Linked DNA regions of Drosophila melanogaster. The protein of the gene in region 3 interacts with the protein of the main gene of each other region in a pairwise test. Each region holds a gene or a part of one and is shown on either strand. Other genes may lie near its edges.

Region 1 (9,428 bases), on a different chromosome or scaffold from region 3:
GCACACGCCCTGCTGGCCAACGGATACGTGATGGCGCGAACGGGCACCGCCCAGGTGGCCCTGGTGGCCAATGCCCACAACGTGCCGGTGCTCGTGTGCTGCGAGACGCACAAGTTCAGCGAGCGCTTCCAGACGGACGCCATCGTCTACAACGAGCTGAGCGATCCCAACCAACTGGTGCGCGGCGACAAGTGCCAGCTAAGCAACTGGGCGGCCAAGGGAAAGCTGTTGCCGCTCAACCTGAGCTACGACATTACTCCGCCGGAGCTGGTGAGTGCCGTGGTCACCGAGGTGGCCATCCTGCCCTGCACCAGTGTTCCCGTCATACTCCGCATCAAGCCAGACATTGGCTACTAATCAGACTTCATCGATCGCTCAGTAGAACTCGCAGTTGTTGAATAAATAAGTTTTATTACACTTTGATCAAATCGACAAACAAGATTGATGCGTAGTTCATAATTTACGGGTATGCTAGTGGAATATGCTTGATGCCAGGGACCGCTGCTGCGAAGGAGGGCTAGGCCCAAGTGTCTGTACATCCGGCAGACCGCCGAGTTCCTCGGAAATTATAAATATTTTGATCAAGAGCAAGTCTGCGCTCTGACATGCAATTGTACTTTCCGTGCGGGTGGGGCTGGGATTAGCAAATATGTAGCTCTAGATTCTAATAACAAAATACAGTTTTGTGCCCGGCTTATAGACTAGGACGATGCCTGGAAGCCAATCGCTGGTGGATTGATTTGGTTTTGCTCTTTTGATTTCCATTTGCAACAACTTGAATGAGCTTCTACAAGCAGCTAAGTCTACAAATGCAACAATAAATACACACAATAAATTTAATAGCGTTTCCATATCGATTGCACACCCTAGCTCCGCTCCATTCCTCGATCCTGCCTGCCTTGCCTCTACGGGCTTTGCTTTTGCATTTGCCGGAAGCAGCCCCGGCACACCGGCACCGGCTTTCCACTGTCGTGTCCTGGCAGAGCCACGTTCTTGTCTATGCAGCGCTCGCAGAAGATGTCCCCGCAGCGCCAGCAGTGAGTCTATTCGAGGATTGGATCATCATCAGTGGCAGGCTTGCTTAAGTACGCGGAGTTACCCACCTTTTTGCTGAACTGATCGAAGGGCGTGGAGCAGGAGCAGGTGGTTACGTTGCGCATGGGCTTCCAGTCTACGGCCACGGAGTTGATCTCCTCGGGCAGCGCCTGCGGCGGACTGGATTGTTCCGCGCTCAGCGACAGACTGGCGAAGGACATGTTGCTGGCCTTCAGCGGATGATCGTCGTCGGCGGCAGACAGTTCGCTAAGCTTCTTATCGTAGTTGTATCTGCAATAAGCGGATGGATTATAAAGCATACTATAGCATAATAACTAATATCTATCATACGCACTTGTTGTCATTGATCTCGTTGCTGGAGAGCTCCTTGTTCACTTTGCCAGGGGCGCTGGTGGCGTCTTGCAGTTTCTTGGCCGACTTGGAAATGTAGTTCTTGAAGCTGGCTATGCGCTTGGTCAGATGCTGCACGTGGTCCTCCAGCGAGTTGCAGTGCTCCTTGCTATCGAGCAGCACGTCGCCCAGTGGCTCCCGCGGATGAATGCCGCTCTCGAAGCGACTGTACATGCCGCGCCAGAACCTGTGTGAGAAGCGCATAGTTTATATAGGATTTGGCTCATTCCAGAAAGTCCTCACTTGATGCACTGCGGTGCCAGGTTGGCCTTAATGGCCTCGTCTACATTTGGTTTGTACAGCGGGTTGATATACTCGTTCAGGTGATTGGCCATATAGCCCCACAGCGAGAAGGTGCGCTCGGCCAGCTTTAGGTCCAAGCGATCCTTCTCGCAGTTGCCCACGAAGGTGCCGAATTGACATGAGTGCACATGGTCGTGCAGGATGAGCAGGAACCGCTCGTTGAACTCGAAGGCCTCGCTGCGCTGCGACATTAGCTGCCAGGTACAGTCCAGGAACTGTGTGAAGATCGGCGACACCTCGCGGGCATCCGTCTGGATGTGACCGCAGCGCTCGCTGAACTTGTGCCCGAATGCCAGCCAGTCCTTCTCGATTAGCGCCTGGAAGCCCTTGATGGTTCGGTAGTAGGGGTTCAGCATCAGCTGCGCCAGTGAACAGACCTGGGCCGTGCGGTCCCAGCCGTCGGAGCAGTGGACCACCACCGAGACGCCCTTGTCCACGGCGTTGGCGATGAAGCTGCAGGGTGACACACACAGAATGTTAACAACTCAGTCCACAATGCCATTGGGAGATTCTCCTGTCTGTTGGCTCACCTCGACGTGTCCAATATGGAGCGAATGTGCTTCAGCCAGCCGGATGACTCCAGGGCATTTATGAAGGCGCTCATCGTGGGCGACTTCTGTTCGCAGGCCTCAAGCACCTTTTGCAGACTGGCACGCTGGACGTGGATGTTCTCAATGCCGAGGAAGTGGAATTTGATGTTCTCGTAGAAGGCCTCGTTCTCGTATCCCTTGCCGGCGGCTCTGTTTGCCATGGCATTAATCTGCAAATGGCGTAAATGGATTATTTGCATTTATGCTCGCCTCGGGAGATTCCCCTGTCACACTCACCCGCGGTCGCGTGTCCACCACATACATGTAGTCCGTGTTGGAATTCGTCTTGCGTATGGCCTCCAGCATCTGCTCATCCTCCAGACAGCGGGCACTGAATCCGGACAGGGGCTGACTGCAGCGGCAGATGGAAGCCTGCAGTGGTTCCCAGTTATGTAAGTTTGCTGATAATATGAGTTATGTATATCTTCGCCTAACCTTGTTGTTGTGCAGATAGGTGAGCACTGGCAGCCGCCCCTTGGAGCGGAATCGCGAGCTGCTGATGAGCATCAGCGTGGTGGCCTCCTTGGGCACGTAAATCTGACGCGGATAGGTGTCGCACAGCTCGTACTTCTCGTTCATGGAGCACAGCGTCCAGGCCTCGTTGGGCACCAGCATGTGCTTGAACTCCGCCTCCAGTTTAAAGTAATCCCAGCCAGCGTTCTTGGGGAAATCATCCTTGTTCGGCTGGTAGTTGAAGCAGTACAATTTGTTGATGGACACTGTTCGCGGGATAGGAATGTAGGCTTGTGAATGGCGGCCGCATTGTTGTGTTTGGTGGATTCTTACCCGGCTGGAAGAGTTTCAGCAGCGAAGTGTAGACATCGTGGCACTCGGAGTCCTTGGGAATGACGAAAGTTACGGAGAGGAAGGTCTTGCAGCGGATGAGTAGCGGAGATCCTGTCGTGCTCAAGGGAAGCTTCTCAATGCTGGCCACGTGCATGTGCAGGATCTGAAGAGAGCGCAAAGCGTAAATACAAGTATATAACGTCCGGTGTGGTTAATAAATCTGCAGAGAATGGGTTGCGTTGGCTTATTTCCCCCAGCTACTCGGATGATTGCTGCTTATGGTTTGCTGCCCTTTGTGAGCGAAACATCCAAGAAGCCAGCTTGCGACCGTGACTTCGCCCAAGGCTGCTCTTATGCAACGCGGGCAAAAGCAAAACTTCACTCCCCCCTTGGACACGGGAGCTACGTGCCCGAACAGAACTGCTTTCGCCACTAAATAATTGATGCGCCCCAGTGGCGGGCAATAAAAAGAAGCGGAGCTAGACAGGGGAGGGAAGAAGCAACCGGATTATGAGGAACTAAGCAACCAGTTTTCAATGGCGCACAAAATCGATAGTTGCCTGCTCTTTTCGCCCCCTCACGGCGGCTCTCGTGCTCTGATCCTAAGTGTTTTCACTTTTAATTAACCACTTTGCGCGGCCCCCGCAAGTGCGACTCATCCGGAATCCCGACACTTACGCTCCTGGGCCACTTGTGGCACTCGAATGCGCCAACTTGCTCCGGGGAGTGCATAATTAATACAATTTGGGCGAGGCAATTAAAATGCAATGCTTGCCTGCTTCCGGCCAGCAACCTCGTTACGTATACGCAGTGGGCAACTTACACGGTTGGAATAATTAAACGCATTTAGTGGCACTCGCATGTGCAGGGATTTGAGCAACAAATCCGGCGGTGTGTCCAAAGGATATGAGCTTGTCGGGCACTTATTGTGCAATATAACGCTAAGCCAGGGCTTTTTCGCGACTATTCACCAGGCCGCTTATTGTCACTATATCCTTTCAATTTCGCTGCGAAAATCGCATTCGCCAACACAACGAACGAGCCTTAAGCTGCAACAGCTTTTCAAACAATTCCCAGTGAATTTAAAGCAAAGCAGCAAGGAAATATGCTCACAATTAACGTACACAAAAGCTGAACGAATTCAATTCGTATGTGTGCAATGGGGCGTATACGCAACACGCTTGTGCAAACATTCTTTTGTGTGCGCCAGATTGCGATTGCAGGAGGCGAATTAAATTACCTGTTAGGTAAATAAGAATCTTAAAGCGCAGGAAACATGCTGCAAACTCGTTAAAGGAAACTTTTCCCCACTCAACCGCTGTCTTCCTCCTCTCGAGAAAGGAAAGGTGCAGAGCACCTAAGACATCAGTCGGCTGGCTGCCAGAGGGGCTCTAAACTTTTTGACAGCTGCGAGGTCGGTGCTAAACCGAAAAGAAACCCATTTGAGCACGTTCGCAGGCAGCGGACTTAGTTGCCAGCACAGTGGTGACTCACATAAGCGTTTTGCGTGGCCCACAAACGCAAATCCACATTTGCCACTCCAGCCGACAAAGTTGTTAGCAAAGGGGACGCGAATTTTAGTCGGGAGCTAGCGTATTGATGATGTCATTATGGGCCACTTACCCAGGTCTCCTTGTTGCTGTCGGGCTCCACGAATATCAGATGGGTGGCCGTTAGATAGAGTGTGCCAACCGTGGGATTTTTGGTATTGTAGCGATCTATCATCCGCACATTTTCCACCTGCAAAAACAAAAACAGAGACAGAGAGAATGGAAATGATTACAATTGGGTTTAAATTCGCTATTTCATTTCAGCTGCGCCCCCGGCTGACGTCAGCGGAATCCATATAGTTTTGTGGAAACCCACTCGTACGTACACATTGCATACGAGAAAGAATAAACTGCATGAGTACGAAGAAAGGAGCAAACTTTTTCAATCAACTTTCAGCGAATACCCGGCTGAAGTGAATGGAAACTTCATCAAAGATTCATCAAAGCCGAGGATATGTCAACTTTAAAGCACCACCTAAATATAGGCACCACAATATGTGCCCCTTGCGGTTAGTTGTTTGGCATCCATTTAACAAAACCGTCGGCCGACCAGCGGCACATTAATTCCTTTGATGGTCCTGCAGGCCGGATTCCCCAAACCAACCCATGCCGCCGCTTCCCCATCTGCGCCGGCTTTTATTGCCCAGGAGGTCTATACATATTCCATTTCCCTAGAGCCGTTCATCATCGGACTAATTTCCTTTCATGTCACTTAGATTGAGGCCCTTGTTTGAGCCGGGTCCATTGTCGAGATAGATAAGGTTAGTTAATTGTCTGATTTAGCCAGTGCGAGTTCATTACCCTCGCCCAGCGGGCAGGCAAATTAAAGCGTGGATTTAAGATAAACAAATTTGCCTAACTAATCATTTGTATAAATGAACCTTCATAAGCTTTCAGATTCAGAAACTGTAGCATATATAAGCATAATGCATAGCACGAGTATTTGATTAGATTTATAATGGTTAAGTTGCACATGCAGAAGCTCAATCAGTTTGTTGGCAACATGGCGCATACTTGATGCACGATTATCAAACGAACTGAGCCATAAAACTTAATTATATTTTGAATTTCGAAATTATCAGATACACACAAATAAAGACAAACGAACTGCATTAATTCAATCTGCGTATAGTGCACATGGGGAGTTGGTGCCATTGTCCATTGGTAATCAACATGGGTAACCTTGACAATTGCCAAGTCCGGTGGCCTGCTCTTGATGTACGAGTGCAATTTGCCAGCCGATGGCAGTTGCATCTGCGACTTTGATGGAAAACCCATTCCATTAATTGACCCAGCTCCGCACCCGAGTATCCCGCTGACAATGCAACAATCTGTCAGACTTGTGGGTGCCCCGAGGAGTGATTGTGGTGACGCACTTGGCGCCCGGATGCAGACCTGCTCCTCGTTCCCACACATGACCCACATAGGAAACGGGTTTCGGGAAGAAGGGGAAGTCAGCTTTTGGCAGGCCCCCGAACATACTGCCTGTGTGCTGATTTGCATATTTTCCGGCCAGTGGCCAGTAGCCGGTGGCCATGGGTGAGATGGGAAAATTAGCACGATTTGCTCGCCATGATTTGCATGGGAAACTGGGGAGCAGGATGTTGGTCTGTTGGGCGGGTTTACCTTCTTGAGCACACTGTTGCCGTTGTAGAAGACCGGAGCCTCGTTGAACTCCTCCTCGATCCAGGAGACCACCTTTTCGGAGACGAAGGGCGGCACTGGCACGCCCCACAGCCTCTTATTGCCGTCCGGCGGCTCCTCCGTCTCCGGCGAGATGTTGTCGAAGCTCAGCCGCAGCGCGGAGGTCGGGGACAATTGGCGCTCGATCTCGTTGAACTTGTTCATGAATCGGGTGATGTCCATTGCGGGAGACTGGCGGGCCGCTTTATTGATTTTGAATCAGCAGCAGCAATCGTGTGCTGGCAACTCAAATGGAATCAATCCAAGTTTGTATGGGTGGAATGGCCTGGGACTTTCACTTTTCGCCTGCCTAACGAGCGCGAAACTCGCGCTATTCACTGGCGACTTGCTGTGCCTTTTTGTGCGATTTTACCCCACGGATATGAGTGTGTGTGGTTTGCTTGGGGCAGCGCGAAGTGCTTCCGTCAAACGATGGAATGGAACTCAGTTGCCTGCGACGAATGCGCGCGCTTAAAAGCGAGCTACGATTTTGTGTTGGGGAAATTTGTCAAGGGAAATTCTCTCTCTCTCTTGCGAAGAGAAGACAAATTGAGCAGTTTGTTACATGGAAATACCCTGTAAGGATTGGGATCTTACTAAACAAAATCAAGATATTTAACTGCATGATTAAATATAAATGATAATGTAATAAGATACTGCTTCTAATTTAAGTTACAAAAACATTTTAGAGAAAAGCAGCATTACCTATACGAGTTTTTTAAATTGACTAATAACTTCTTCTATTAAGTTTACATTACTTAAAATAGGTATTTGAATTTGAAAGAATATTTATTATCCAACTTAGAATGCAAATATTTCATATTTCAAGGAGTTTCTAATGATTTATGTAAGAATTTAAGATAGGTAATTTCAGTTTCGTTACATTCAAGGGCAGATCTAAGCTGCAAATAAGTTTCCAAACTTGCATTGATAAGTAACCCAATTCGGAGATGCGGGAATCCCATCAACTTCGGCCACAACACGAACCCAGTTAAATAGGCCACGTCGAAGGGCAGAAATGTATGTAGCCTTCCATTTTGGACGCTGAGAGAACCTTCCACTGATTTGGATGGACGACTTTTCACGGTTAAAAATTGTGGCTGAGTGGGTGGATTCTGGGTGATTTTGGGATGGGAAGAGAGCGCGGCTCGAAACTTATTTACTTTGCATTCTATGCGCATGTTTTGGTTCCGCATTAATGGACGTGGATTTCTGGGAGTGCTTCCACCTTTCCGGGGGCGGAGCACCCCACCTGTGTGGGCGGAGTAGCCGGTAGTTTTCCCACGGAAAGGGCGCAGGTGGAGCACCCTTACCATCGATTTCCGAATGGCCAGCCCCCGCGATGGATGACTCACAGCGCCTTCGCGGCAGCCCAGCCAGGTGCTCCACGGTGGTCGCCGAGGTATGACCCTGGCTGCATTGCACCCTATCGCATTGATTAAGCTGATAACTAACCTTGGCGAGCTTTATTTCGTCCATTGTTTACGTTTTGATTGGGTTTTCCTGTTGCCTCACGTGAAAACGAGCCACAAAGTCACTGTGCACTGATTCGCCCAGCGGTTCACAAGCTCACGCAAGGGAGCCTCGTTAATTTGGTAGAACTGCACTCGTGTTTGCTTTTTTATTGCATTTTTTTTGTAATTATTCCCGAATAATAATAAATTCTTCGAGGCGATTGTACGAACTAGGGATGTGCTCCAGTCGATAGGATCCACCCCCTAAGCTATCGGCCGTCGACGGCTATCGGCGGCCACTCTTTGCGACCGTCTGGCAGCCTTGGCAAATTCAAAAGTTGTGCGCAAAAATGCATTTAATGTACGTTAAAGTTGAAACACATACAAGTAACAAGGAACGCGATGGCTATCAAAAATTGACTAACATTGACGGTAGGCGGTTGGTTCTAGCCATTCAAGTGCACTTCAGGCGTGGGCGGAGAGGGTGTAAATGCGGTGAGTGGTCGTCGTGTTCATTTACGCAATCCTACGTATTTCGTCCAGACGCCCTTGCTGTCGAAATAGGGCTTGTTACGGGAACAGATGATGGCCTCCCTGAAGACATCGGCATAGGAAGCGGGCATGGTCGTGTGCTTATAAAGATTGAAGAGGAACTCGTATATCTGCAAGGATTCTCATTGGTATTTTGCAGGTAATTGTAACCAGAGTGTTTCAAACCTTAGCCTCCTGATCCTTCCAAAAGACGTGATCGCACAGGTACTGCAAGCTCTCCGGGAACAGTGCCAGGCGCTGCTTGTCGTCCGTGGCCACCACATCGACGCTGCCCAACAGCACGGCACAGCCCGAGAGCACATCCACGGCTAGGATGAAGATGTCCAGCAGGTAGAGCGCCCTGTTCACCTTCTCCTTGTTGGAGGCCTCGGCCAAGAGCATTTGGATCTCCAAGAACATCTCCGCTATCCAGTTGCTGGAGTGCTCATCGCTCTCGAAAGCGTACAGAGTGGCTGCCAAGTGGCGGTAGAAGAAAGGCCGCTCCTCCGCTCGTTTCTCGTAGGCATCTATTATGGGCGTAAGCCACTTGAGAGGATTTGGAAGCTTCTCGTTGTACAAAACCAAGTAGCACCGAATGATGGTCGCCTTTTTCAGCTTGCCCACCGGCGTCTCCCACCAATTGGCTGGCGTCGTTAGACCATCAATTGCATTCGGATGCAGTGTGGCCACCACTTCCGTGTAGCGTTCGAAGAGCCTTGAGTCCAGATTCATCGAGTCCATGTAACGCTCAACAATCAGGGTGAAAACATCCAGCACCTCTGGTATGTCGCAATTGCCGGTGAAGATGTACTTGACGCTTTCCAAAAACTTTTCGAACAAACATCCTGGAAAGAAACTAAAGCTTCGGGGAATTGCTCATTAATATACAAGCGGATTGGGACACACCTTCAACAAAGTCATTTATCTGCGATTCCTTAAAGCAGTAGACAGCCACCTTCTCGGCAAAATTCTTCAGAATCTGGAGGCTCACACTGTTCGCAATCTCTGGCAGCAATGAGAAGAGCAGCAACAGATCCTCCTCGAAGCAATTGGGCTCAAAATCGATGAGGAAGTTCTCCAGGAGG
Region 2 (7,247 bases), on a different chromosome or scaffold from region 3:
TGTGGCTTTTAAAACCAATTTGGTAAAACCGTCCGACCAACGGCAGCCAGCCAAGTAAGTCAACCAGGTCAAAAAGCTGCTTCAAGATGTGTGTAATTAGACGTGACTTTTCCTCGAGTTCTACTGAAGGGTTTTCTGGTGGCCGGGGGCCAAATCGGGCCTTAAAGCCATCTTAACGCTGTTGTTATTTAGAGCTTAATTGTGCCCGGACACGGAGGAGGAGCAGTGCCCAGGGTCGTGGTTCAGGCGATTGGGCCGAAGTGATGGGTTGAAGGGGAACCGCCCTTAGAGTTCAAGATGGATTAAAGTCCGCTTCAATGGCTACTCCGTGGAGCCTTTGTCCCCCCCATCCCAAACGATGCCCCACTCAACCGCAATTAGCTTGGCAGAAGCTCGATATCGACACATTAGCATCCCCTGTGCACCGGGCATAATCTGATTATCAGCCGCCAACCCCCGGAAAAAGCAAGTGAAAAAGTGCTAATTTGTGCACGGAAATCACGCCCAGGAACTGGGATGGATATCAGGGATTTTCCCGATGCCCTCCATGTGCGTGTCACCTCCAGCTGACTGTTTCCCTTATCGCCTTTGTGCAAATTGAAAATATGCCAAATAATTACACATTTTTATGTGAATTTTTCAATTTATATGCCGTCAAATAAACGCTGCGTGCACATCACAGTATTGACATTCAGTTGGGAGGCACTTGCGCCCACTTTTTCCTCATTTCCGACGATATTCGCAATGTCGTCAGACATCTTCTGGCAGCTTATTTATTCAAAAATGTATTTGACCTTGAAAAGCTCTAGGCAACTTTCGGAAAATGTCCACAGATGGCGTTTCATCGCTTTCTACTTACGAGCGTAAGTTACATTTGTAAAATCCCGTCAAATGTATGTAATGTCGTGGAAATAGAGATGTCAAATCAAACCAGGCCCAGTAAAAGACAAAATTTATGTACCGACTGTTGTTTAATGCGTTTACAAGTATATGGGTGTGTTGTACTGAACAACATGCACTCGAAAAAAAACTTACAAAGTTCAGTGTTAATGAAAGCCCCACTACACCAACAACAGGATGTCAGAGGCCAAGAGCCAAACATCTCCGGGTGCTTGGCTTTTAATTATATTGATTATCAAAATATAAGTTGACAAGTGCAGTTTCATACATTTTAAATGTACAAACGGGGGAAGTTGGGATGAGGAAATGATTAAGATACAACGAGAAGGAAGGAAATAGTAGGTCAAGTAAATGAGCTGAATTGGAAGTTGGGAATTAAAAGAATTAATGAAATGATTCAAATGATAGGGGCACTCAATTCAAGCGCTGAGTTACCGGCAGCTTTTTGCGCCGTCTTCGCAATTGCTGACTGCGATCCCAGTACTCATAGTAGCGTTCCTGTTTCAACCATTCCTGATATTTATACCACCACTCCTCCCACTTGATATAGTCCTAAAAGATATAGATAAATGTTACCATTTGTACTGGACTGCGGATAAAATCGTCACTTACCTTCAGGTCCAAGTCTCTTAGGTAACCACGACTCTTGTAGTACTCGTAACGGACGCGCACATCGTCCCACGACAGCATTCCCGACGGTGCTGTGGTGGCTAACTCCTCCGGAAAGTGCCCGGCCGGTGCCGGCGAATACGAATAGCGACGCGGCGGCGACTCCAGGCCCTCCTCAATCATTACTTTGAGGGCCCCACCGGCGGAGTCTTTGGTGATGCGCATGTTCTCCATGTTGCTGCGATCGATGCTCCACTGCGCCATTTTGCCGAATCGATCCGAGAGCGTCAGCCGCGTAGTAGCCGAGAATGTGGGCAACGTGCCGACCTCGTCGCTGTCCGAGCCGTTCGAATCGTCCGAGTCCGAGGAGGAGTTTGCCGCGTTAGCTCCGGTGCCACTGGACGTCCCGCTCGGATGTTTTTTGCGTTTCTCACCTTCAATTTTAATGCGTGGCCTCACCTGATGGAAAATAATATATATGGATTGTTATATTTGGTTTCAAATTTATTTTGACTCTTAGCTTCGGACAATGCTTACCTCCTTTTCCTTCTTCTTCTTTTTTGCCTGTGTTGTAGGTGCTGCAGCTGGCGCTGACGCCGGCTCTGGTGGCTCTGGCGGGCGGTGCTTAAGACGCGGATCTTCCGGCGGAGGCGAATGGCGCGAGGACCGCGCGATCTTCATGTGGGTGTCCGACGAGGCGACACGTTCATGCCCGATGTGACGCATCTTCGCCTGGCGATACTTCTCCATGGCGGAAACCGAACTGCCTCCACCTCCGCGCACGGGCGGTGGAGTGGTGGGGCGACCATGGATACGGCCATGTGATTCCGACGGAGGGGGCGGAGGCGCCCCCGAACGATAATGGCCACGTGGCTTGGGTGGCGGCGAGCGCGGACCGCGGGATCTTTAAGATGGAAAAAAAAAAGTTTAATAGGAACAAAGAAAACACATTTCATATATCAATACTTACCGAGATCTGTGACGATGACTGGGTGAGCAGAGGGAGCAGGAATCATCGGAGCTGGTGCTCATAGAGCTGTTTGATCGCGAACGCATCGAGTGCTGCAAAGGGACACGGATATATGTATAAATGGTATGGTTCTCACTGACAGAATAATATGTATCACTATCTGGTTGAAAACTCACCCTCGGTGGTGGCGATGGCGGTCGCTTGGAGCGCGGCAGGATATGGGCGACTGGACCTCGCTTCTCCATTGCCGACGACGAGGGCGGAGGAAGCGGTGGAGACCGGCGACGTCCGAGCGGAGAACGCGACGCGTTTGGCTTGCGTCGCAACGACGAGGACGACGAGCCACCACTGGGTTCCGGCGGTGATCGGGGCCTTCCGCCGTGGCCGTTTCCGGGTCGACGCATGAGGGCATCGTGGCTATTGTTGGGCGATCGTGGCATTGGCGGCGAGCGAGGTCCACCACGGCGATCCATGCCACTGTGCATAGCCATGGGCGGTGAACGACGACGCGGAGGTGGTGAAAGCGGTGGCGATTTGCGCAAACGCGACCGACTGCGTGAGTGCGGCGAACGAGAGCGTCCGTAACGCTGCGACGGAGGCGGTGGACCTGGCGGCGGTCCACCTGTGGGCGGATAACGACCGTAGGGCGGTGCTCCACCCTCACGACCTTCGCGACCGTCGCGTTCGCTCTCTCCAGAGCTGCTCTCCCCCTGGATGTACATCTTCTTGTAGCCCGTGTGGCGCCATCGGTTTGGATCCTTCTCCTCTGCCTCGATCAGCTTCTTGTCCCAATAATCGTTGGTGGTGTTGGCGCGCGCCTTCTTCATCACGTTGTCGATCTCGCGTCGCTTTCCAGCGGGTAATGAGGGATCTGCAAGGTTGAGAGGTAAAAGGTAAGCTTCGATTGGCAGGGTGGTGGGCGGTGCTTTGTTCCGGGAAGCCCCTAAGACGGGCTGATGGGTTTATGGGCCCTTAGACATCGCTAATCCCGGCGAGGTAATTGGGTTTTCCCACTTCTATGCAGTTGCTTGCTGGTAGTTGGTAGAAGTTTCAGTTCAGGTACCTGTTATGCGGGCAGCTGTCGGCTGCCTGTCCATGTGCAGTTTTGGATTCAGTTCGGCGCGCCTGCGCGACGCCATCGCGAGATTTCGGATTTCTATCGCTTTGGCAACTATGTATATGTATATATATCGCGCGACAGATATATGTATGTATGTACTCGGGTTTCAATGTTTATTACCCCCAATCGGTTAGGGTTTGGTTTACTGTTTCGGATTCGGTTTGGCGAACGCGACAACACACTTTACCATTTCAAAAACATACACAACAAGCTGCAAATATATTACAATTGAATATAGAAACATGTAAAGAGAGCATTAGAAATGGCTAACACAAAGCAACAACAATATCAGGAGCGGAGTTATACAGAATGGGAATAGAGCGGAGAGACCTGAAAACGCAGAGAGAATCGCGGACGCGCTCCGGCTGTCATTTAACCCATATCACGCCGCGGGGGTCGGGGACCTGTGGTCCCAATCAAAATCGTGCGAGAGAGCCGATTTTTAATCGGCTTGCGCGTATATCTTTTCACATATGCATTTTGAATTTCTTCCATTTTTCACACATACACTCACACCAGCACCAATATATTTGCCTTGTCAGCACGAGAGGAATGCAGAGCGAGACAGAGAGAGAGTGTGAGGCAAAAGTTGGCGATACTCCCGACGGCAGCAACTAAATTTCGAATTTCAGCTCTGGCAATTATGTAAACGATGTAAAACAGGCACTAAAATAATTTGCTTACATTTGGCGACGTTTGCGGGCACGCTTTACGATATTTCGTGAGCTGTTAACGTTTTATTGGCAAATGAAAAACACGGCGTTGCGTTCACTTCAATTTTTCTCGACGGCCATGTTGGTAGTATCGATATGCCGGGGCACAATCGATGGCTTGGCTTCAATAGTCTAAGGACTGTTCAGAGTCTGATGAACTCGAGTCAGTTTATATATTTTAATAATAAATATTGTGTTATTTCAAGAGGCGCTCGTAGTTGAAAACACTATTCGTTTTGGGAATGTTTTATATATTAGACTATTTAAATCATATCATATTGTTTTGACATTATTTTAAGTATGCATTAACGATTCTGCTAATTATTGCAAAAATAAAAGTTATTAGTTCTATTTAAATTAAAACAGAAACAAATAATAACGATCAATTATTAGTTATTGGTGAGCATTAATTCATTTTTTATTGTTCAGTTTCCTTAATTGACCATATGATTTTAATTTTAGGATCTGAATGTAGTGTGGACGCCAGTTTGCTGCTATCGCAAACGTTATCGATAGTACGGTGTTGCAGTATTTTATTACACCCGACTAACAAATGATAATAAGCAGATCCACGGTCACACTTTCCACTTTGTGTCCATCCGACTGAAGTTAAAAATAATAGTTTAATTGGGAGTTTCCAAAATGCAGCGCGACGAAAAGCTTTTTGAGCTGACGCTGGATACGGTCCTTCAGCGTCTGAACGACCTGAAGCTGGCGGTTCTCTCGATGATCCAAAAACTTGAGCTAGAGTACGAGACCATCAACTGGCCGACTTTCCTGGACAACTTTGCCATTATCTCAAGTCACTTGACGGGATTGACGAAAATCTTGGCAAAGGAGCAGTGTCCGCCGCTAAGAAATCGAACGGTCCTGCCCCTTCTGGTCTCCATGGACCGGGATGACACCCTCATCAACATCACAGAGGGTCGGGTGCCAGTCTTTTCACACGACATTGTTCCAGACTATTTGAGAACTCGGCCGGATCCGATTACGGAACAGAAAATGCTGCAGAACGAACAGAAGGCGGCGAACCTCACCAACGACGCTGCCATGAAACAGGTCACTCAATACAACAAGGTCGTCTCCCACGTCCTGGATATGGTCAGCAAAGCGCGCGAGGAGTGGGAAATCGAGAGCTCTTCGCGCACCGGCATCCAGCAGACGAGTAGCATGGCCGACACACAGCTCCTGGTGGCCGCCGTGGGTATGGGAAAAGGACTCAAGCTGACCAACTATGGACCCGGACCTGGCATGATGGTACCGCCTTCAATTCGAGCACCCTCGCCAATGGGTGGACCCGCTATGAGTCCCGGCAACGTGCAGCAGCAGCTGGGAAAGGCGCCATCGGCTGTGAAAACAAACATCAAGTCCGCAAATCAAGTGCATCCGTTCTCTCGATAAAAAACATCAGTTTATTAGCTATTATCGGTTCCATCTGGCGGAATGTTTCGTCGTAATAAGTTATATGTATATTCCTAATTCTAAAACTAGGATTACGCAAACATAAACATGAACAAATTTAAATGGATCGTCTCCTCCGACTCAGACTTCTTATGTTGCTGGCTGTGCGTGCTTCTCATTGATGAGAATCTCGTGCAGCTTAATATCTTTCGGCGTGGAGGTGTCCACCAGCTCCAGGCACAGCGCTCGTCCGCCATCCTTTTGTTTAGTCATTCGCCGCACAATGCCAATAAACTTCTGACCCAGCGACAGTTCCCGGAATCGGACGCAGTTCTCCTTGCTCCATACTACATCAGTCAGTTGTATGCCTGAAAGAAGATCGTTTTTAGTTCTAACGCCAAACTGCTGAAGTTCTCTTGAACTTGCCATAAAGTTGTGCTGGCAATGCCATCTTGGGCAGCTTTCTTAACTCCGGATTTAGAGTTTTCAGTTGATCACAGGCAATTACTCCATCGTCGCCCACGTCGACGAAACGCACGTGTATAATCTCATCGTAAATCTTGTGAATACTTACGCTGCAAGATTAACAGATTTAGTCTGCGTTTTTATTGCAAGACCTGAATAAGTTCTTACCGATGATATACGCCTTCGGAGTCAGGGGCAGCGTAGGCCTCTCCAATGGCCAGTTGTGAAGGCTGCACTCCCTTGGCTGCCGTCTTTTGGCAATGCTCTTGTAAATTCTTCATCAAAGTCTGCAGCTGGTTATAGTATTTGTACGGTTGCACCTGCGGAAGAATCGCACATCATAATCGGAGTCATTAATTTGCTGATGATTGACTTACCGCAAAGTGACCGGGATTGACGGAGAGGGCAACGCGCACCTCGAAATAGGCACCCACTGCCGGAATAGCCTCGTAATCCTTGAGCATGAGAGACGAAAAGGTGCTGCCGGTCGATCTTGCGGATGGTTTCTTCTCTGGCGTCACCGGGGGAGTGGTAGCGACAAGGTCGCTGCTGCTGCTCTGATTCGAGAACACGGAGCTGAAGCTACCGCGTCTGGGCAGCTGGACATTGGAGCTCAGGAGCGTATGATCATACTTCTCCGGATGAATGGAGCTGTGTGGGTGGGGAATCAAGGGTGGGGCGGGAACAAGCCAGATTGGGGGATTGGGAGGCAATTGTTGGTTTCAAGGTTTAAAAAATCTGATTGCTTTCGGGCTTATTGGGTAGTAAAGTACATATGTGTGGCAGCTTAAGAGTATATTTTTCAGATTATATACAAAGATGTGCATGATTTTAGGGTAAGCTTACAAAACGTAGATCGAATTTGTGTTAGCAATAACATATCAAGTCAGTTCCGGTTTATTGAAGCACTTATAGAGATAGCATTAAGCAAAGGATCAATTATATTGTTAATATAAACTTATAGGGCACCAGTCACAATTCAGATGTCGTTGTTTAGGGAGCTTGATGACGATGTGATTAGATGACATTGACCATAATGATATAGAATGAATAGACATTGTACAAAAGC
Region 3 (8,243 bases):
GGAGCCCTTGCCGATGCGCTCCTGCTTGGTGAAGATGAGCTCTGGATCGACTTTCTCCGTCCAGGACATGTTTCCTATCTGGTTTCTACTTCCCACTTCGTGGCTTCTGGCTCTCCTCCTCCACCTCCTTCTGGATTCACGGGTTTCCTTGTTACTCCGCTGGCTCTCGACTGGCTTGTGTTGGACCCAACTGGACTGAACTGTTCTGCGGGCTATTTGGTGGCTGAACTACTCTGCGGGGGCACTTGACTAATAATTTTTTCGTTGGTATCTCATCTAATCCGAGAAATCTCTCTTTTTTTTGCTGTATCGCAGCAGTATCGAATACCGATTGAATATCGATATTCTCCTGTCGATATCGATATCTTTCCAGCTGTTGATTAGAGCCGCCAGCCGAAAAATAAATATTAAAATTAATTTTTTATTTTAATTGTAATAATATTTATTTCACGATTCGTATGTATTTTCTTAACTCTGGCAGAGCAATTCTTATTCTTTCACTAATATAATAGTTATTAATTTCCCTAAGATTATTTAACTCGTTAGCAGTTCCGAAAAGCTTAAATAAGATTAACTTATTCATTTATTTTCCTATTCGACTTGTGTCAAAGCTTACAATATATAAATATTAGATGTTAACTATTTTATTTCTTTACCCACTTCTGTAATTACAAAACCCATTTGGCAGCGTTGCCACATAATATTGAATATTGGAAAGCGTTGCATCGATACCCGCTAAAAACTTAATGTTGCAGAATGAATTTACATCGAGTCCCTCATTTTTAGTTTATTGTAAATGGATGTAGTTATCGAGTATAAATAAAAACAACTGGTTTCCAAACGATGCAACTAAAATGATTTTTTCGCCATCACTAAGGATTCAATTTCACATCATTCAAAATAATTTTCTTTAAGCTTAATATCGCAATTGATGGGTTATTTTAATACATAAAACACATAAGTTACTTATATCTGAAAAAGAAAATCGCAGTGCCTTCAATACCCATGCATACACCAAAAATTCAGATATTTCGTTTTAATGTACTTTATTTATGAAATGTGTTACATTTTTCTTTTTTTCTTTTGATATAGCGAAACAATACATGAACTCGGCGAAAAGACTTTCACAAATATGTGTTTTATATAAAAATTTCTTAAACAGATTACTACAAGTATGGGTTTTCTACGGTTGGTACCCACTTTTGCCTGGGTACAGATCGTCAGATTCGTCGGTGGTTGTCTGCGACCCGGGAGTTCGCGAGGAGACAACCAGCAAGGAATCTGTGACAGAACGGTGATTTTCCTGACGAAAAACGACCCGACGAGTCCTAGCTATAAAACTTTCTCTTAACATGTTACTTTACGTCAGAACATAAATTACCAAAGAGGGTGAAACAGATATGCTAAGACAATCTTATCAACTAAGGGAAGGGTATTATGTGGTCTGGCCTGTTGTATTACATAATTGAGCAGATGGATCGGCCCTCGGCAGCGACCGCGGCAACATCAGCCACCTCTACAACAGGGTCAATGTTTTCTCCATCGCTGGACTCCTTGTCGCCATCCTGGCCATTGACGTTCTTATCCTCGACATCCTTCTTGGCGGGGATTTCCTCCGCTCCGGCCTCCTGACCAACGGTCACGTCTTCGGCCGGTTGTTCCTCCTCCACATCAACCTCTTCTGGTACGCCAGTCGTAGATGTGTTCAGATGTTGCTCCTCCACGCCGGAACTGTTCGGCTCCAGACGCAGACGGGTCGGAGTACCGATTGTTGCCTTGGAGAATCTCGAGCGCAGCAAGCTAAAGGGAGAAGCCAAATTCAGGCTGAACAAGTCGAAGCGGGCGCGCTTTGGCGGCGACATATCCACGTCGTGGCCCAGGTCACTGGTCGACTGAGAGGCCGTCAGTGGTGGGGGAGTGCGTTCACGCTTGCGGCCACGGCCAAAGAATGAAAATGAAAATGACGAGCTGTTGGGGATCTCTGATCCGACTGTGGCATTCATGCTTGCGTTCGTGCAGTTCGAGGTGTCCAGATCGCTGTTCCCGCACCTGTAGGTGCCTATTTTCGAGGGCGTCAGTGAGTCGATGGGTCGTATGCTACGCCTGCCGCTGATCTGGGCGAAAGTGCGAGCCGGAGTTCCTGCCGGCGAGCTGGAAGTCTGGGCAGCCAGCTCTACCTCGGTGCTTTGCTTGTTGCTACCACGGAAACTGAAGAGACTGCGTCCGGGCGTGGATGTAGCCGTCGGCACGGCATTCAAATTGCCGTGGACGCTGCGTATGGGAGAGGCATCCACTTGTAGCGGTTCCATATCGACATCTTCTTGTGGAGTCAAAGAGCCCGATGTCGATGAAGAAACTGCTTCGGTTTTTATCTTCTGGACAGGCGAAGCGTTGCTTGCCTTGCTGATGGGTGACTTTTGCTGGCTACCCGACTTGCGTGTAGACTTGCGATCCTTAGTAGGAGTGCTGAGATCGGGAATAAACACTACTTCATCGATGATTACCGCAGCATCCGCAGGCGTTTGAGAAGCAGGAGCAGTACTCTCAACGGTAGCATCATCTTTTTTGGTCTCTCCGTTGTCGTCTTTGTCGGAGGGAACTTCAGCTACCACCACCTTTTTTTCGGAAGCCACCTCCTTATTTTCGGATACCACCTCCTTATTTTCAGATACCACTTCCTTATTTTCAGATACCACCTCATTTTGCTTATTTTCGGATACCACCTCCTTTTGCTTATTTTCGACCACAACCTCCATATCTGTCATCTCGGCAGCGCCATCCTTATCCTTATTCTCGGCACCCACTTCCTTTGCCTTCTTTTCCGGCAACTTATCTTTAGATTTCTCTACCTTCTGGTCTTTGCCTGTTGAGCTGCCATTCTGTGACTTATCTTTGCCATTTGTGGGCTTGCTTACGCCGTTCTGGCTGGATCCGGTGGATCCAGTCGAAGTGGTCCGCGGTTGGTTGCTCTTTTTTACCGGCAAAAATGACTCTGTGATCTTTTTGTTCCCATTTTGGGGGCTATTTGAGCGGCCGTTGCTGCCAGAAGATTGCTGCAAGCGCGTGACGGTGGAACCGCCGCTCAGCGAGAGTGGCAGACGACGTCCCGTTCCAGTGCCTGAAGTGGTACCTCCCCCGCCGCTTGTGTTGCTAGCCATTTTGCTTAACATTGATTGGGTTTCCTTCGATGCGTTGCACGATCTCTGCAAGGGAGCACAAACAAAGAGAATATTTTATTCGTTGATTTCAGAGGGCTGTGAAAACGAAAACAAAAAAGTAAACACGAATTGATTTGCGGTTTGTTTACACCACATTCCTTGCGAGAACCGGCTATGAAATCAATACCCCCACCCAATTACCACAGATTTGCTGTTCAGTATGGGAATGTAATCACAGTTTTTGATATTTTCTACGCTAAGCGTTTTATTTCTGATTTTCTAGCACGTCCGCACACATTCAAGTCTGAAGCTTAACTCTAAGGTATCTTCATCCTGACCCGGTTTAAGTAGCTAGACGGGGAATCTTATTCATTGCAGGTACGTGAAGTATGGACAATCTACCTGCCGATGCAGCTGCCATTTATGACGGACATATGTGCAGAGATTAGGATGTGTTAATTGCCGGGAATAAACGGTCAACCATATGCTAATTTCTACCTCTAAATTTCGAATTCGCTCAAAAAATTCTGCTTCGAATTTTCGGTTTTTCTGCTCGCTGACTATGTTTTTTTTTGTTTGTTTCTGCTTGAGTGGCTTTCACTTCCCCCATATTTTTAACTGGCTTCCGTTCTATTAAATGCATTCAAAACAAACTGAGACACAAACTTAACAAATACAGACCAACACGCAAAGCTGGTTGCCCCAGTGTGTTTTCCGTTTTCGCTCGCCTTGCAAGTGAAATGACACGAAAGGGTAAGAACGGCTGAAGTGAAGAAATTCGTCTAGAATGCCAAGAGATGGAATTTTCCCAGACAGCTCGATGCCAGATAAATGCGAAAGTTCAATTTTACTTTATCCGGATTGCTACATACTCTAACCAATTATTTAAATGGCATTTGACTGATTTTTTGTGATTATAGACTTTTGTGGGTTTTGTTGAGTAGAAATATTGACTACTAATTTAAGACTAATAAACGTTATCTAATAAATAATAAATTGGATACAAACAAATAATGCGCGAGAAACATATAAAAATGTCATATAAATATGTATCTTTAAATTTTTTTTGTTTCAATATACCTTTGTGATCAGTATACCTCAATACTTGTTGTGAGGGTATCAAAACTAGTTGCACCCAGGTGCATTTATTTAAGAGAAACGTAGGGCAAGGAGGGAACGGGGAATTCGCTTAGAAGGAAATTGCATTGACCGGGTTTCTTTTTATTTTGTTTTTAGAAAGTGGAAATGCGAATGCTGAAAAATTGCGGACAACGAACGATGCTGCGCAAAATACATAAAAAATAATGCACACAATTGCAGCGAAAGACTGCAAAAATGAGAAATGAAGAGAATGAATGTTTTTGCGAGGTTTGCCATGCAGATGCGAGTGTGTGAGTGTGTGGCACACATGTATTTATAGCCAAGCCCTCTTTTATGCGGAATTATCACTGTTATTGCAGTGCCCTTTCGTCGTTTGTTTTGATATTTGCTTCGCGGAGTTGATTAAACTCGAGCATAAATGCCTCTTTATATGGTCGAGTGGTTAATGGCGGTTCTGCTCCAAGTCTAGTTAATCAATTTGAACAAGCTGCGATCGGATCGGCAAAAAAAAACAAACAAAAGGAAGAGTACAAAAAAATCAGAAACCCACACATGTGCAGCGACAAACTGTCTGTGAGTGGGCAAGAAAAGGCGGCATACAGTGCGCGCCAAAATATTGCATACAGTACAAAAGCAATAAATATTTGACTAGAGAAATCTGAATCAAACATTACTATTTTGATAGACATATTTAGATAGCTACCATTGTGTTATTGAATCTCTTATTTATTTGTATACAGAAAACGATATTCAAGGATGTAACGCTGCAGTAGATAATATTGTATGTACTATATATTTAGATATGCTTCTCCAAGCTACTTATAATTGAAAACAAAAATAAACTATAGTTTGATATTTCGACATCCCAGGTTTTTTGACCTGGTCCACTATGCTTTGCCACCACTGTACCATGCAATTGTAGGAGGCTGATACCGCGTTCGTTTTTTAAAATGGCGGCGCGACAGCCGCAATTGGCGATAATTTGTTTGGAGAAAGGAAAAAAAATGTGAGCTCTTGGGCGAGGGGTGCAATAAAGCCCTTTTGCAGGGCAATAAAACTGATGTTTCTAACGCCTGCTGCTTCATATTTTGCGCACATTTTGAACATTTGAATTATTCCTTTGTACGCGCACAAATTTATGTATGTATGCTATACTATCCTACCGCAACAAAAAGGATGCGCAGACAGTGCCCATCGAAACCAGCAGTATTTTAGCTTTTTGTAAATCAATATAAACATAAGCACACCCACCTTGTAGCGTTCTAGTTCTAGCAGCACAGCTAATACTTATACAGAAATTACTTTGCGACAAATTAACTGATTTCAATTCAACCGACGCCGATACAAACAAATTATAACCAACGCGCTAGTGGGACCTTAGCTACCACGCGGAGAAATACCACGTGCTGCCGATCATCGTTTTGCTTTCGATAAGTCACGATGGTTCACGTCTTGGAATTTCTACATCTATATGTAAAAAAAAAAAAAAAAAAATTATCAGAATAGTGAAACAGTACAACCAACTTTAAAGTTGTAATAATTAAAATTGTTTGTAAATGTGGTTTAATATCATGTATACCATTTATTTTATAAATATCCACCAGCTGGTTGGACATCTGGCAACTCCTGTCATTACATGCTTTCAGTGTCGAGCGTTTTCCAGCACTTGCATGTTTACCTTAAGAAGAAGAGTAGAAAAAATCGTTGTGTAGTGGCAAAATAAATAAATACAGATGTGAGTAGCAGTAAATAAAACATACAAAGTGCAAAAAAGGCATAAAAAGTGCATGACCCTCGCATAGTTTAGTTTCCAGCTGGGAAACCTTTTATTTGTCTACGATCGTACATTTATCTGCATGTGAAAACCTCAATGAAACAAAGGGAGAAATTAACGGTGTATTTTCCCAGCCGATTTACGTGGTTATATACATAAATATATGAAGTATCTGTGAGATCTTGAAATCCCTGGTGATAAAGTGTAAATGTTTGTCCTGCATTGCGGTAATCTCTTACAACAAAGTGGTTTGTTTTAAGTGGCCTTCTTTCGAGTTCAGTTTCAATGGCCTTTATCAGCTGTTTGGCACATGGCGTTGGAAGTGCGGGTGTGTGTATGTATGTAAATAGTATGTACAGTACGTACGTGTGTGCAAGGGTGACAGCTGTCGCCCCAGGGAGAGCAATGTAAGTGAGTAATATTTGTTTATGTGAAAGCAAAGTTCAACGGTACCTGCAAACACACAAACACACATCCCCAACATCCGTGCTGATTACGCTGCTGTTTTCACCTACACCGACGTACCACTGTGACAGTGTGTAAGGTTTTGCCTCTTCAGCATGATTCGGCACTATTTCGTCCAGTTTTTGCCTTTATCATTCATTTACCAACAACCAACTCAGCGTCACTTTATGCGGAAATTTAAAGCCGCACTTTGATGAACTAATGTTATTAAAGGGCGTGGATTTTCCAAAGTACGTTTGATTCGCCATAATACTTATATGGGATTTTTGGCGGGGGAAGTCCCTTTTGCCCTTATCTGATTAAACAAAAATATTTGTGTAGTACATATGTAGTGGTTTTAATTTGGTGATTCAGATAAGAAAAACATACGATAAATTTTAAACGTTTTGTAAACATTTCTCTAGAATAAATAATAAAATTAAAGGATAATCTTTGAAAGGGTTTTGTGTCTTAATATTATTAAATGAAAAAAAAAAATATTTCATTATTGTAGTTACTTCATTTAATGCGAAAAATTTTTTTAAGTGTGTATCAGTGATATTAATATTTCTATCGTCATGTGTATAAGGCGTTCATAAATTGAAATTGTTTTGGGAACATGACTTGATACTTCAAAATTTATTGCCTTTTCAATTGAGCTTGGTAACAATGATTAATCGGATATACCGTACAATATTGTGTATATGGCCATTTATGTTGTGAAATTCCCTTAAGACAGAACTCCGATCATGACTAAAATACTATGCAATAAAAAATAGAGAGACGTAATCTCTTTTAAACATATTCCACGATATGCGCATACGAAATTAGCTTAGCTTTTTGTTTTGATTGTATTCAATAGTTCATTTGGCACGGACTTTGAACACATTTTAGCTATCTTTTGAACAAAACGAAATTCCTAACTGCTTGCATGACACGCGTAATTTTTTTGCAAACGCTGTGTAGCCTGAGGCTCCATACAAAAACCTGTTGCTGGTAAACATGGTAAACAATTATGTTTGCCATCGGTTACGATTTGTGAGCATCATCGTTACGGTCCAAAAAACCGCCCACGGGCCGTGCGTTTCATTCATGGCATTATATAGTTTTTATCGCCACAACACGGAGTGTATTCACCTGGAAGGGCCACATAGAACTCAGGCACATGTGTGCACACACACACATATGTAAGCATGATAACGCTCTTTGAAACGCTCCCCCCACTCCGCCACCATCCCCGCGAGAGATAAGTCTCGGTGGGCTCTGTGGCTGGGCAGACGCAGACCACGGCAGTCAGTTGACGGGCTCTCTCCACGGCACACGCATGATCGCCGGAGCGGATTTGCGGAGAAGCAGCTGATCGCGCGCTTTCATTTTCACACGGACTTTCAGTCTTTGTTTGCGAAACTATTGATTATTGAAACTATCTCTACCGAACTAACGAAGCTGTGAAGGATCCCTATCGATCCGAGATTAGTGCCAAAATGCAAACCCAAATGCACTCGCCCATGCAATATGAGACCCACATCTCCGACATGCCCAACCACAAGGGATACCCCTGCCGCCCAGAAGGTTGGTTTTTTTTAAAGTTCTGGATTTGACCTTGGGTCTACAGTTCAATTCGCAACAAGTTTGCCAGATATTTTCGCTACGCGTGCTTTTGGTAAAAAAAAAAGAAACCACTGATCATGACGGTGCGCATTGCGAATCAAGTTCTCTGAAACAGCCCACAATGATTGGCGAAAACGATTCCAGATTGTGCTACA

The links.
Region 1: the proteins of kuk (region 3) and Mtmr6 interact in a two-hybrid assay, tested with the Drosophila melanogaster proteins (one large-scale study listed by BioGRID).
Region 2: the proteins of kuk (region 3) and CG8929 interact in a two-hybrid assay, tested with the Drosophila melanogaster proteins (one large-scale study listed by BioGRID).

Annotation. Positions count from the first base shown.
Region 1 is NT_033778.4:23,388,616-23,398,043, forward strand, and holds Mtmr6 (myotubularin related protein 6), read right to left. Parts: upstream 6,807-9,428; 5' UTR 6,542-6,806; coding exon 6,302-6,541; intron 4,866-6,301; coding exon 4,749-4,865; exon of another isoform or gene 4,366-4,748; intron 3,289-4,365; coding exon 3,126-3,288; intron 3,059-3,125; coding exon 2,775-3,058; intron 2,712-2,774; coding exon 2,577-2,711; intron 2,510-2,576; coding exon 2,280-2,509; intron 2,203-2,279; coding exon 1,690-2,202; intron 1,634-1,689; coding exon 1,391-1,633; intron 1,327-1,390; coding exon 1,104-1,326; intron 1,044-1,103; coding exon 906-1,043; 3' UTR 394-905; downstream 1-393. Other genes in the region: eIF2Bdelta (eukaryotic translation initiation factor 2B subunit delta), read left to right, coding at 1-357; CG3520 (uncharacterized protein), read right to left, coding at 8,325-8,474, 8,530-9,188, 9,250-9,428.
Region 2 is NT_033778.4:20,324,430-20,331,676, reverse strand, and holds CG8929 (uncharacterized protein), read right to left. Parts: upstream 4,408-7,247; 5' UTR 4,284-4,407; exon of another isoform or gene 3,811-4,283; 5' UTR 3,619-3,810; coding exon 3,543-3,618; intron 3,351-3,542; coding exon 2,656-3,350; intron 2,572-2,655; coding exon 2,480-2,571; intron 2,414-2,479; coding exon 2,047-2,413; intron 1,969-2,046; coding exon 1,513-1,968; intron 1,453-1,512; coding exon 1,315-1,452; 3' UTR 956-1,314; downstream 1-955. Other genes in the region: MED8 (mediator complex subunit 8), read left to right, coding at 4,955-5,713; tapas, read right to left, coding at 5,864-6,081, 6,140-6,288, 6,347-6,498, 6,556-6,829.
Region 3 is NT_033777.3:17,077,624-17,085,866, reverse strand, and holds kuk (kugelkern), read right to left. Parts: upstream 5,624-8,243; 5' UTR 5,511-5,623; intron 3,922-5,510; exon of another isoform or gene 3,840-3,921; intron 3,480-3,839; exon of another isoform or gene 3,360-3,479; intron 3,204-3,359; 5' UTR 3,171-3,203; coding exon 1,458-3,170; 3' UTR 1,086-1,457; downstream 1-1,085. Other genes in the region: GckIII (germinal centre kinase III), read right to left, coding at 1-69; Keap1, read left to right, coding at 7,962-8,049.